Linked DNA regions of Saccharomyces cerevisiae S288C. Changing the gene in region 3 together with the main gene of any one other region gives a genetic interaction. Each region holds a gene or a part of one and is shown on either strand. Other genes may lie near its edges.

Region 1 (2,571 bases), on a different chromosome or scaffold from region 3:
TTTTTCGAGCACCTTTATTTTTCTAATTTTGGAGTTAGTTGTACTGTGTGAAGCTTCAGTCCACACCATTCAAATTAAGGACAAGCATTTCGTTGACACAGTGACTGGAAAACCATTCTTCATCAAAGGTGTGGATTATCAGCCAGGAGGCTCTTCCGACGTTAGTGAAAAGCAGGATCCGTTATCCAATCCAGATGCATGCGCTCGTGATATTTTATTATTTCAAGAATTGGGAATAAACACAGTAAGAATTTATTCTATAAACCCGGACCTGAACCATGATGCGTGCATGACTATGCTCGCAATGGCAGGTATCTATCTTATATTGGATGTCAATTCCCCATTGCAAAACCAGCACTTAAACAGATATGAACCTTGGACTACCTATAATGAAGTTTATTTAGAACACGTTTTCAAGGTTGTCGAACAATTTTCTCATTACAATAATACTTTAGGATTTTTTGCTGGGAATGAAATTGTAAACGACAAAAGATCAGCACAATATTCTCCTGCCTATGTCAAGGAGTTGATTGGAACTATGAAGAATTACATAAGCGCACACTCGCCCAGAACAATTCCGGTAGGTTACTCTGCTGCAGATGACCTGAACTATAGGGTATCACTGTCCGAATATTTGGAGTGTAAAGATGATGATAAGCCAGAGAATAGCGTTGATTTTTACGGAGTTAACTCCTACCAATGGTGTGGCCAACAAACTATGCAAACTTCAGGGTACGATACATTGGTGGATGCTTACAGGAGCTATTCCAAGCCAGTTTTTTTTTCAGAATTTGGATGCAATAAAGTATTGCCAAGGCAATTCCAGGAAATAGGTTATTTGTTTTCTGAGGAGATGTATTCAGTATTCTGTGGAGGTCTGGTTTACGAATTTTCACAGGAGGATAATAATTATGGGTTAGTTGAATATCAAGAAGATGATTCAGTACAGCTCTTAGCAGATTTTGAGAAGCTTAAATCGCACTACCAAAACATTGAGTTTCCTTCTATGAAGACTTTAAAGGAAACTGTTCAGATGGAGGAGACGCCATCATGTGCGGAAGATTATGAAAATTTGAAGATTGAATCTAAAATTGCTAAAAATTTAGGAAGTTCTTTGATAAAAAAAGGCGTGAAAGTTGAAAAAGGCAAATACATAGATATTCACGAGGATCAGCTGTCCACCAATGTCACGATTTTAGACAAGCATGGTGACAGATGGAATGGGCCCAAAAAGATTGAAATTAGGCAAAGCCTGACATTGGCAGACCTGGAAGGAGAAGAACAAGAAGACGCAGATGAAGACAAAGATGATTTAAAACGAAAACACCGGAATTCTGCCTCTATTTCCGGCCCATTGTTACCTCTTGGGTTGTGTTTGCTTTTTTTTACTTTTAGTTTATTTTTTTAGACTTTAATGTCGTTCTCCCTTTTTAAAGAGTAAATACATATTTAAAAAAGTGACTATGGCTATTGCTAAACGTGATAAAAATCAGAGCCTATAACACTCTCTGAAATAACGCTATGCAGGAATTTCCAGTTAAGTTCTTCTTGGGGTGACTTCTTTACTCGGTATGATATGTGTTTTATATGCACAGTACGAGTCCATTAGGGTAAATTAGTGGCCGAGAAACTTTTGCCGCCGAGCTTTTAAGTATCCTTTTGCCACTTCTTATTTAGATAAAGACCTGGCAGTAGTAGTCGTAGAAGATAAGATAGACAGAGAATGAATACTAATAAGATAGCACAAGACGAAGTCCAAGATAAGGTTTTGCAAAGAGCAGAACTAGCACATTCTGTATGGAACTTAAGGTTCAACCTCAGTAAAGTTGCCAAACGGATTCGCATGGAAACAAAGGTATTTCCAGAGATAAAGATAAATGACGCGCAATCACAGTTAGAGCGATCTAGGTGTAGAATATTTAGCCCTGACCTGGAGGAAGAACATGTGCCCTTGATTCAAGGCTTTAAATGTTTGGATTCACCCCCTCCCGTTCCACCAAGCTCATCGCAGGGGGAGGATGAAGAGAACACGGTAGATTCGCAATACTAGGAAATTAGAACCGAATCAAAATAGTTCCGATCCTAACTTTTCTACTAATCTTTGAGATTTTATCTCATTAACTCTTTGACCAAGCTATGAAATGCGTAAGATGAACTTTTGTTTGAGAGTGTTAAGTATTTAGGCGTCTACGCTATGATAGCCTCACTCTAGGACGACTGCTTTTTTGGAACAACTTGTTGTTCTCCGATGGTATATTGTGTGTTTATGTATTGTTCTACGTACTCCTCCGTCTCTTTTTCGAGGGCAACGCTTTGAACTAGTATTTTCCGTTATAGTATGTCCCCCCTATATGCAACCCCTTGAATGGACGAATCTCTAAAATATACAACCTTTTCCTCTATAGGAAACAAGTAGGGTCTTCTACGCTAAGGATTACATAACGCATGTATCAAAAACTGATTTTAATTGATTAATTTCAAAATGTCAGCGTAGGTTCACCTAGACTTGTTTTATAGCTCCATTCAACTGGCGGTAGACACAACTAAAGCCAAAAATTGCCTAAAAATTTC
Region 2 (2,615 bases), on a different chromosome or scaffold from region 3:
GGCCAGCTCCAGTTCTCTCTTCAACTGTTGTATTTTCTCCTGGCTAACATTCTTCCTTGGACGGCCCATTATTATTTACGTGTATTGTTGGTAGTTAGCCCGAAGATTATGAGTACGTGAAATACACTTGTCTTTATGAAAGAGTGGAAAAATGGTGGGGAGTAAGTTATACTATTGACGTGTAAAAAAAAAAAAAAAAAAATGTTAATGGAACGACCGATCTAAAGAACCATATATAATGAATGACTAAAAAAAGCAAAATAGTTAAGAATCCAAGAAAGATACTAAGAAAAGGCGAAAAGAAAAAGAAAAAGTATGTCCGCTAACAAAGATTAGCGTATAAGCACCACACGATGCGATTCAGGTCTCAACGTGCAGTGTGCAGGAGCAGGAACTATTCAATGTATTGTTGTTCCAGGGTTTTTGTTCGCAACCCACGTCTTGACCGACGGTACCCGCAGGTGAAAATTTTAGCAAAGTTACACTTTTTTTTTCATTTTTTTTTTTCTTTTCTCCTCCATCTAATTTCACCTGCGGTTACCGGCGGAATAACTCGCGCACCATTTCTCTGTCTCGGGCCTCGCGTTCCTCTTTTTCGACTCGAGCGGCCTCTTCACGCTGCTCGTACTTCGCGACGCTGCGCCGGCGCTGCGAGCGTTTCTGTTGACGGTGCCACTGTAGAAGCGCCTCCTCTCTGGACGGCATCGTGTCGTACGACGCCGCAAGTTCGCGCGCGAGCTTAAGCCGGGCAAGCTTTCGATTTTGCTCACGTGACCGCGTTTCTTGGCACTCGACAACGATCCCAGTGGGTTCATGCCGTAGTTGTACCTTAGAATTACACTTATTAATCTTTTGGCCACCGGGCCCTCTGCCGCCATGAAGGAATTTCTCAGTGCATTGTGCTTCCATCTCTGGCGTGAACTTTGGTCGCGGTGGTAGCTTGTTCTTTTTAATCAGCAGCACTGCGGCACTGCTGATTGACCTCTTACTCGCTCCCCTCATCATAGTTTACTAGTCTCGGATTCTTCTGCGCTTTTTCCAGGGTCGCATAGCTTGTAGGTTGGTAGCATAGACTTATATATAAACTCATATCCGTTCTAGGAACGTATAGCGCGCTATGGTAGTCCGGGGAAAATGCACAGTTTAGTTAAGTGTATAGTAATTTTATCGATAAAGGAAGAATGGAAGAGGTTTATGTATACATGTAAACTCTGAACATCTAATAGACTAATGATGCGGTTAATACGTACATTGCCGCTTCGATGCTTCAAAACTAGAATACGGCGGCAAGGCTCGTTGTTGTGTTTGCGGTGCTTTAGTTCGTATTCAAAACCACTTTTGCAGAAATCAATGTCATTGAAAAATATCCAGTTATCAGACCTATCCTCATCGCCATTATCCAAGAACAAGGAGAAGCAGGAGAAGCCAGAGAAGGAAAACGAAGGAAAGCACTCCATTGGCCTGTTAGACAGATTTTCAGAGGACTTTATTACTCAGGGCAATGGATTGAAACCTACTACTTCACAAAATCAATTGGATACTATAAAGTTTTATCAAATGCTTCGTGAAAGAGGCAATTTTTCCGATGAACAATGTAAAATTATCATAGCTCTATTGTTGCAACTACTAAATGATCAGTTTTATTCCTGTTACAATGATTTGTTCTTAAGGGATATGGAGCTGAATAAACAATCACATTTGTTCAGCTCGCTAGAAACAGAATTGAAATTCGCAATTCAAAACTCTAGAGACACGCAACTAAATGAGCACCACTTGCAATTATTAAAACTCAAGAGAGAACTTAACTCAATCCATGATGAACTGAATGAAATCATAATAGATCTTTTGCAAAAGGACGCTAAATTAGAATTTAACAATCAAAAATTAGAAAACACCCTTTTGTATCGACAATTAAACCTGAAATTGAACGACTGTTCTAACAAGATTCAAACCAAGATACTGGGGGATATCAGGTCACATATCGAAAATTTAAGATGGCAGACAACCAGAAGCGGTCTTTTGGTAATATTAGTCCTTGTTTGTTCGATTATGATCGGTGTAAGCGCATCTAAGAAGGAACGCCCAGGTTTACAGGAACCTGAGGAACCTGAAATTTTAGCACCAAAGGAAGACATTGATACTACCTTCCCTCAAGATCAACATGATATAGATTAATTAGCATACATATTGTCTGTACATAAGTATATTGTGTGTGCGTTTTGTTTCACTGAGAAAGCGGACGTCATAAACGATGCTTCCTTTGTTTCGAGCCCAGCTGCCTAAATCTTTTTAAGGGCTCTCCATCTACCCAATACTTGAGAGATTCATTTACTTCCACTGAGTTAGCCTTATTGAATGCATCGATGTGGTTCGATTTCAGCAATTTTTTCATCCCTAAGCAACTGGGCAGGTATAGCCCTTTCACTTTCTCCCTCAATTCTTCTAAGACCTTTGCATTGAACGCTTCAGCGTTTGAAGATGGCATGTTAAAATTCTTGCTTATAAATCCGTTCTCGCACATTATATCGTACTTGAATGGTTTGTTGAACATGAGGCATTCATACGTCGTATTTGTGCCAAACTTCAATGGCAAAGAGACCGTTGTACCACCTTCG
Region 3 (2,779 bases):
ATTTCATCTGTTTACAGATTGAAGTTTGCTGTTCAAGTTGACAAGGTCACCAAGGAAAAGGTCAACGGTGCTTCCGTTCCAATTAACTTGCACCCATCCAAGCTTGTTATCACTAAGTTACACTTGGACAAGGACAGAAAGGCTTTGATCCAAAGAAAGGGTGGTAAATTGGAATAAACTAGCTCGACTTTAACATAGATCATACAAAAAATACAATAAATAAATCCTGTGTTTCTTTTATGTATATTTTTTATCAATTTCAATTTAGTTTAGTTTAGTTTCTTTAAAAATAAAATTGTAATTTCTCACATTCTGCCTTCGGGTCTCAAGGGCTGGTTGGTAGACGAATGCGCTTGTTTCTAGCTGAGCGGCAGATGCATGAATTCAATGCAAGAAAATGAGAAAACTTCCAATATTAAAATGTGATTGTTAATTATTAGTATATTTATGACAATATATATATGTACATAGGGTGATTATGAAGATGAGTAAGATGCGAATGGATATGAGGATATGAATCTTTTTAGAGACAATGAAGATGCAAAGAAGTAGTTAAGCACATTGACCTCAGGGTTGCTATATGCTACTTTTAGTCCGTTGGATTTCTGAAGCAGTATTGGCCACAAAAATTTCTTCATTATTTCTACGATTAGAGTTTCTTCTGGATTTTTCTCGTCCCTGAGACTTACTCCTTTTCAAGTCATTTTCAGCAGCAGCTTTGATTAAATCATATCTTGTGATTTTACTTGGAGAGCTATTGTGATGGGAACTTTGTCTGCATGTGACTGTATTAGTCAGAGATGTTATGGGCTTAACCATAAGGGAAGAAACTATGGCACGCATGAATGAATTACTGCTTTTACTGCTGTCATCTGTTGAGTTTGCTGAGTCTTCCGTTCTTGTAGTCTTGGCTGGTGTGAGTAACATTACGTATTGTTTCTGTAGAGAAGATAACTTATAACTTCCGTCTTGTCACTAGTTGTTTTAATTATATGTTTGTTACAAGTTTTTATGTATAGATATATGTTACAACTTTTAGAAGTATTGTGGACATAACAGAGAGAAGGGAATGTTGCTATATTTATATATTTTATATATTGCCCTCAAAACTGTATCTCATCTTTTTTTCTGCAATCCTTGCTTTCGTAATCTAAGTGTGGGTGACATGCTAAATCCGCGGCTTTCCTTAAGCTTTTTCACAAACCATCTATTATGTCCAGAAGCTCCGCTGATTATCCGTGGAAAAGGGTCTTATTCTGCCGTAGGAAACTTCTTCTCGAGAAAAAAGTGAGTTCACCCGCGGCGCTCTCGTAAAACCCGAGGGCCGATTCTTTCCCTCCGTGGAACAATCGGCCCCGCGGCGTCAGAGGGTATTATCTCCGCAAGTGATAGAACTCACATTTATTCTACGTTCTGCATGGTTTTGATTATCTTCTTTTGCACGATGTCACATACTTTTTCGATTACCGTCGCTTTACACAGTAACTGTTTAAAACGAGCGTTCTTAATTAATAACTGTAGGAGAGCAGGCTTTCGGCTTTCTTTATGAGAAATAAGGACTACTCCAGCTTGCCAAGTTTTATCCAGTTACACAAACGCTCAAGATCGCCTCGCTAAAATAGATGAAAAAATAAGAAAAATGAAATGTTCAACCTAATCCCTTTTGGATTTATCATTGAAAGATCGCTGATTTATTCTTTTCCAATACGCCTCGTAATTCTCTTTCAATGTCAAAGGCGCCAGATTGTAAGAATCTGTCATGTAAAATAATCTGACAATACGTAGTTTTAAAAACCAATTGATTAAACCAAGCTCTCTTATGATGCCAACTATAAAAAAATAAAGTGATCCAGTCAGTGCCCCCACGCTGAATCCCACGATTACTTGATCTAAATTGTGGTAGTGCAAGTAAACTCTGGAAAAGCAAACGCAAAACGATAATAAAGCCAATGCACCAGAAAAAATGCATTTTTCTAAGAAGTTTAGATTCTTCCAGGAAGTGTATATCTTCAGAGAGTTATAGGTAAAACAAAACCCCATGAATTGGGAGTGTGCACTGGGCATCCCGTAACCGGATCTTATAGTGTCATTTTGGAACGACGCACCGAACGATACGGGGCGTGGCTGTTTTATTATATTCTTGATCACGTTATTGAATATTTCGTTCATCAATTGGCCAAAGGCTACAATGCAGGCTTCTAACTCTCTTGTGATGATAAACCACGACAAATAAAAAGCTAGCACTAGGATGGGCATCAGCGAGAAATATGCACTAAGGAATGATAGAAAGTCATGCGAATCATAGAGAATGTATGTGTCATCGAATGGTATAACATTTGGATTTGGATTTATTGCAGCGGCGGTACTATTCATGATATGATCCGATTCAAAACAAATTTTGATGTAGATAAAATGCCTGGTATAATGAGTGGTAGAGAAGAAAATTAGACGAAAAGAATGAGAACGAAGAAATGATTTAAAGTGATCACAGTGGCAATCACTTTCCCCTTTTTAACGCGTGTTGAGCAATCGATTGATGTCTCTACCATATGTAGCATTTTCTCAGAAGGCAAACTTTTCTTTTTCTTTCTACTTTTCCAACAAGAAATTTTAAGTTTTCCCAGAAACCCGAATTCTCCTATTTCATCCACCACGTAAGAACGGTTTTCTTCCTGGCGTAATTAAAAGCATAAAGAAAAACTGAACAAGCTCTAGATGTAGATCAGGGTATACATGGTGCGCTTCAGTAAGTGTACTGTACCACTAGTTTGGCGTCTGT
Region 4 (2,814 bases), on a different chromosome or scaffold from region 3:
TCTGCGAAAGAACTTGAGCCCGATCAATTAGTTGAACTTCTCGCTCAGGAAAAAGAAGAGAAAGAGGCAAAAAATATCAGCTCTTCAACTGCAGAAGTTCCATCGATATCGCAACCTGAAATAAAGAAGGAGAATCTCGAATCAAATGATTCCTTGATTTTAAGAAGCACGAAAAGAAATGTAAATGTCAATGCCGCTAGTTTGAGGAATCTTTCCATTAAAAAAACTCAAGTCAAACCGGAGTCTGCAAGTGAAGAAAGCAAAGTTCTTGCTGCAGCTTTAAATGATGCAAAACAAAACTTGGATGAAAACGTCTGGAGAACTCCTATCTAAAAAACAAACGAATATAGTTTGAACACTCATTCCATGTTCTATGCTTATTGTTGTACATTTATTATTTATATATTCTTAAATATATTTCGAGAGATCTATACATAAACATCAATTTATTATAATTCTACACAAAATTACATTTAAATATTAATGGCTTTCTTCAAAATTCAAAAATCTTTTTGAGAAAATTCATACTCCTTCAGATATTGGTTTCTTATCAACGCTTCAATTTTTTTCTCTTGAATATATATAATATCAGTATCGGTTAAAGCTTTAGAATAATCCGTCTCCATACATGATGTTTTCTCGAATGTAAATTCTGTCTCTTCCCAATCCAACATATATTCATAATCAAAGCAGTTTGTAAATAAATAACCGTCGAACCCCACAAAAATTGGTAATCTTTCAAGCCAGCTTTCAACTTTTTCGGAACAAGGCATGTTTTGTGTTGTCCGTGGACTGAAATATGTCGGAATTTCAAATCCATTATTCGAATTATGTAAAACACTCCAGTTACTAAACTTGACATCTTGGCAATTAACTTTTTCAATGTGATTTAAATAGGATAAATAAGGGTTTGGTAATGGTAGCGTACCGTGGGGATACAAATTTGGCAAACAATTGATTGAAGAAAGCTGTGGTGACATACTGTCAGTAACTCTTATTGGTTTTTCGTATGCAGGCCACTGTTCGTGTTGTCGTCTTCTTAACGCTGGATTGAACTCAGGAAATGTTGTATTCTGTATCTTCCCGCAATCTGGTGGTATCTTATTAATTATCTCAGCAATCGGAGAGCTTCGAAAGTTGTTCATTTTATTTAGCTTCGATGTTTTAGTCTCCTTCAGTTCCGGTGCGGAAAGCTGTGTGTAACCTTGATTCATTTCGATAAAATTTGCGTTTTTATAAAATTCCCAAAAATACTGACTATGGTAGAAAAGATTTCAACGAGGAAGGTGGTAAAGATCAATGAAGTATCTTCAATCATTATGTAGGTTATAAGTAAATGTTTTTGTTTTCAATTATGTTCCATAGTTTGTGGTAGTTTTTCTTTGAAAACGACTGTGTCGGCCAGAATTGCTGTCGCATCACCAAAAAAAAAAAAAAATGATACAAAGACTGGGGATGAATGTTACGTAAACAGGAAAAAAAATATGTCGAAGGAGAGAGAAAAAATATTTAACAAAGTGCATGCCTCTAAACGTCGTAATTGGTCTGGCTATGACAAACAAAAAAATCGATGTTAAAATGTTCCAACCGAGGATCGAACTCGGGACCTTTGCCGTGTGAAGGCAACGTGATAGCCGCTACACTATTGGAACAGACTTTTAATATTCTGAACTTTCTGCTTTACTAAACATCGTATTATTATACGAACATGAAACAATAATTAACAACAAATTCCAGAACTTGCGACCAGCTGTTAAATTCACAATCAGACCAATTTTTTACTCGACTTTTATTATATAATAGATTATATATATATATATATATATATCTCTTTTGCAGCTAAATGAAAGAAAAAAAAAGAAATGGCACATATCAAAAATAATCAATTCTCTCGTCTTCACACTTGTAGATATTTACAATAGAATCGTGAGAATTGGTGGCCGCAATCATCATTCTATGAGGATGGAAAGCCATCGAAGATAAAAATGCATCAGAAGTGGAAGAGTAGGACAGTGACTTTGGGATTCCCGTAGCGGCTAATGTACTTGTTACGCCATTATTATGTGAGTTTTTAAAAGAATTCAAAAGATCTCCAGATGTCGTCCATATCTTTATTTGTTTAGTCCCTGTCGCAATTATCGGAGCATGCTCATGAACCTGCATGCACGTCATTGTCGTTGGTTTTTGTTGCGAACCGTACTGAGAAGTTACGTTTTGATCAACAAACGATTCTACCGGATCTTCGGACCTTATATCCCATAACTCTACAACACCATTGGTAGCTCCACTGACCAATTCTCTGTAACCACCTCTTTGTAAATGAACATTGTTAATCCAAACTCCCTGCTTATCATTTCCAGCTCTCCAGCGACGTATCATGGAATCTCTTGGATCGAGACGGCGATCATATACTCTCAGGGAGCCATCTGCAAACCCTGCTACGAAGATATTACCTGCTAGCTGATCAGCCGTCAAGGATGTAATTAAAGATGATGTTTTTGCAGGAATGTCCACTTCAACCGTTTCTGTATGCGCATCCCAGACACGGATAACCTTAACATCACCAGTTGTTAACAATGATCCTCTTATTTGTAACCATTCGGTTAGTAAACCTGTGGATCTAGGTGTCAATAACATATCGGTCAAGCCTCTCCAGGCGGATACAATTTTAAAGGTGTCGACATCTTGGTAGTCTCTGTATATTTTGATAACACCGTCTGAAGAACCTGTCAATAAAAGGGCGGAGTCATCCTCGTTAATGAGTTTCAGGTCAGTAACTTTTGTGCCAAAAGGAGTACCATTGGAGAATTTGGA

Evidence for each region.
Region 1: mutations in YGR035C (region 3) and YOL131W together harm fitness more than expected from each alone (negative genetic interaction), as found in Saccharomyces cerevisiae (one large-scale study listed by BioGRID).
Region 2: mutations in YGR035C (region 3) and RSO55 together harm fitness less than expected from each alone (positive genetic interaction), as found in Saccharomyces cerevisiae (one large-scale study listed by BioGRID).
Region 4: mutations in YGR035C (region 3) and PFS1 together harm fitness more than expected from each alone (negative genetic interaction), as found in Saccharomyces cerevisiae (2 studies listed by BioGRID).

What each region holds. Positions count from the first base shown.
Region 1 is NC_001147.6:71,308-73,878, forward strand, and holds YOL131W (uncharacterized protein), read left to right. Parts: upstream 1-1,723; coding exon 1,724-2,050; downstream 2,051-2,571. Other genes in the region: GAS4 (1,3-beta-glucanosyltransferase), read left to right, coding at 1-1,408.
Region 2 is NC_001144.5:703,956-706,570, forward strand, and holds RSO55 (Rso55p), read right to left. Parts: upstream 1,006-2,615; coding exon 538-1,005; downstream 1-537. Other genes in the region: YLR278C (uncharacterized protein), read right to left, coding at 1-69; PUT7 (Put7p), read left to right, coding at 1,231-2,175; ECI1 (dodecenoyl-CoA isomerase), read right to left, coding at 2,243-2,615.
Region 3 is NC_001139.9:556,496-559,274, forward strand, and holds YGR035C (uncharacterized protein), read right to left. Parts: upstream 928-2,779; coding exon 577-927; downstream 1-576. Other genes in the region: 60S ribosomal protein uL24 RPL26B, read left to right, coding at 1-177; YGR035W-A (uncharacterized protein), read left to right, coding at 1,070-1,291; CAX4 (dolichyldiphosphatase), read right to left, coding at 1,654-2,373.
Region 4 is NC_001140.6:474,127-476,940, forward strand, and holds PFS1 (Pfs1p), read right to left. Parts: upstream 1,215-2,814; coding exon 501-1,214; downstream 1-500. Other genes in the region: SSP1 (Ssp1p), read left to right, coding at 1-333; ubiquitin-binding TORC1 subunit KOG1, read right to left, coding at 1,873-2,814. UniProt on the Saccharomyces cerevisiae protein: Involved in the pathway that organizes the shaping and sizing of the prospore membrane (PSM) during sporulation. Required to localize MPC54 to all four spindle pole bodies, and localize DON1 and SPO14 to four prospore membranes.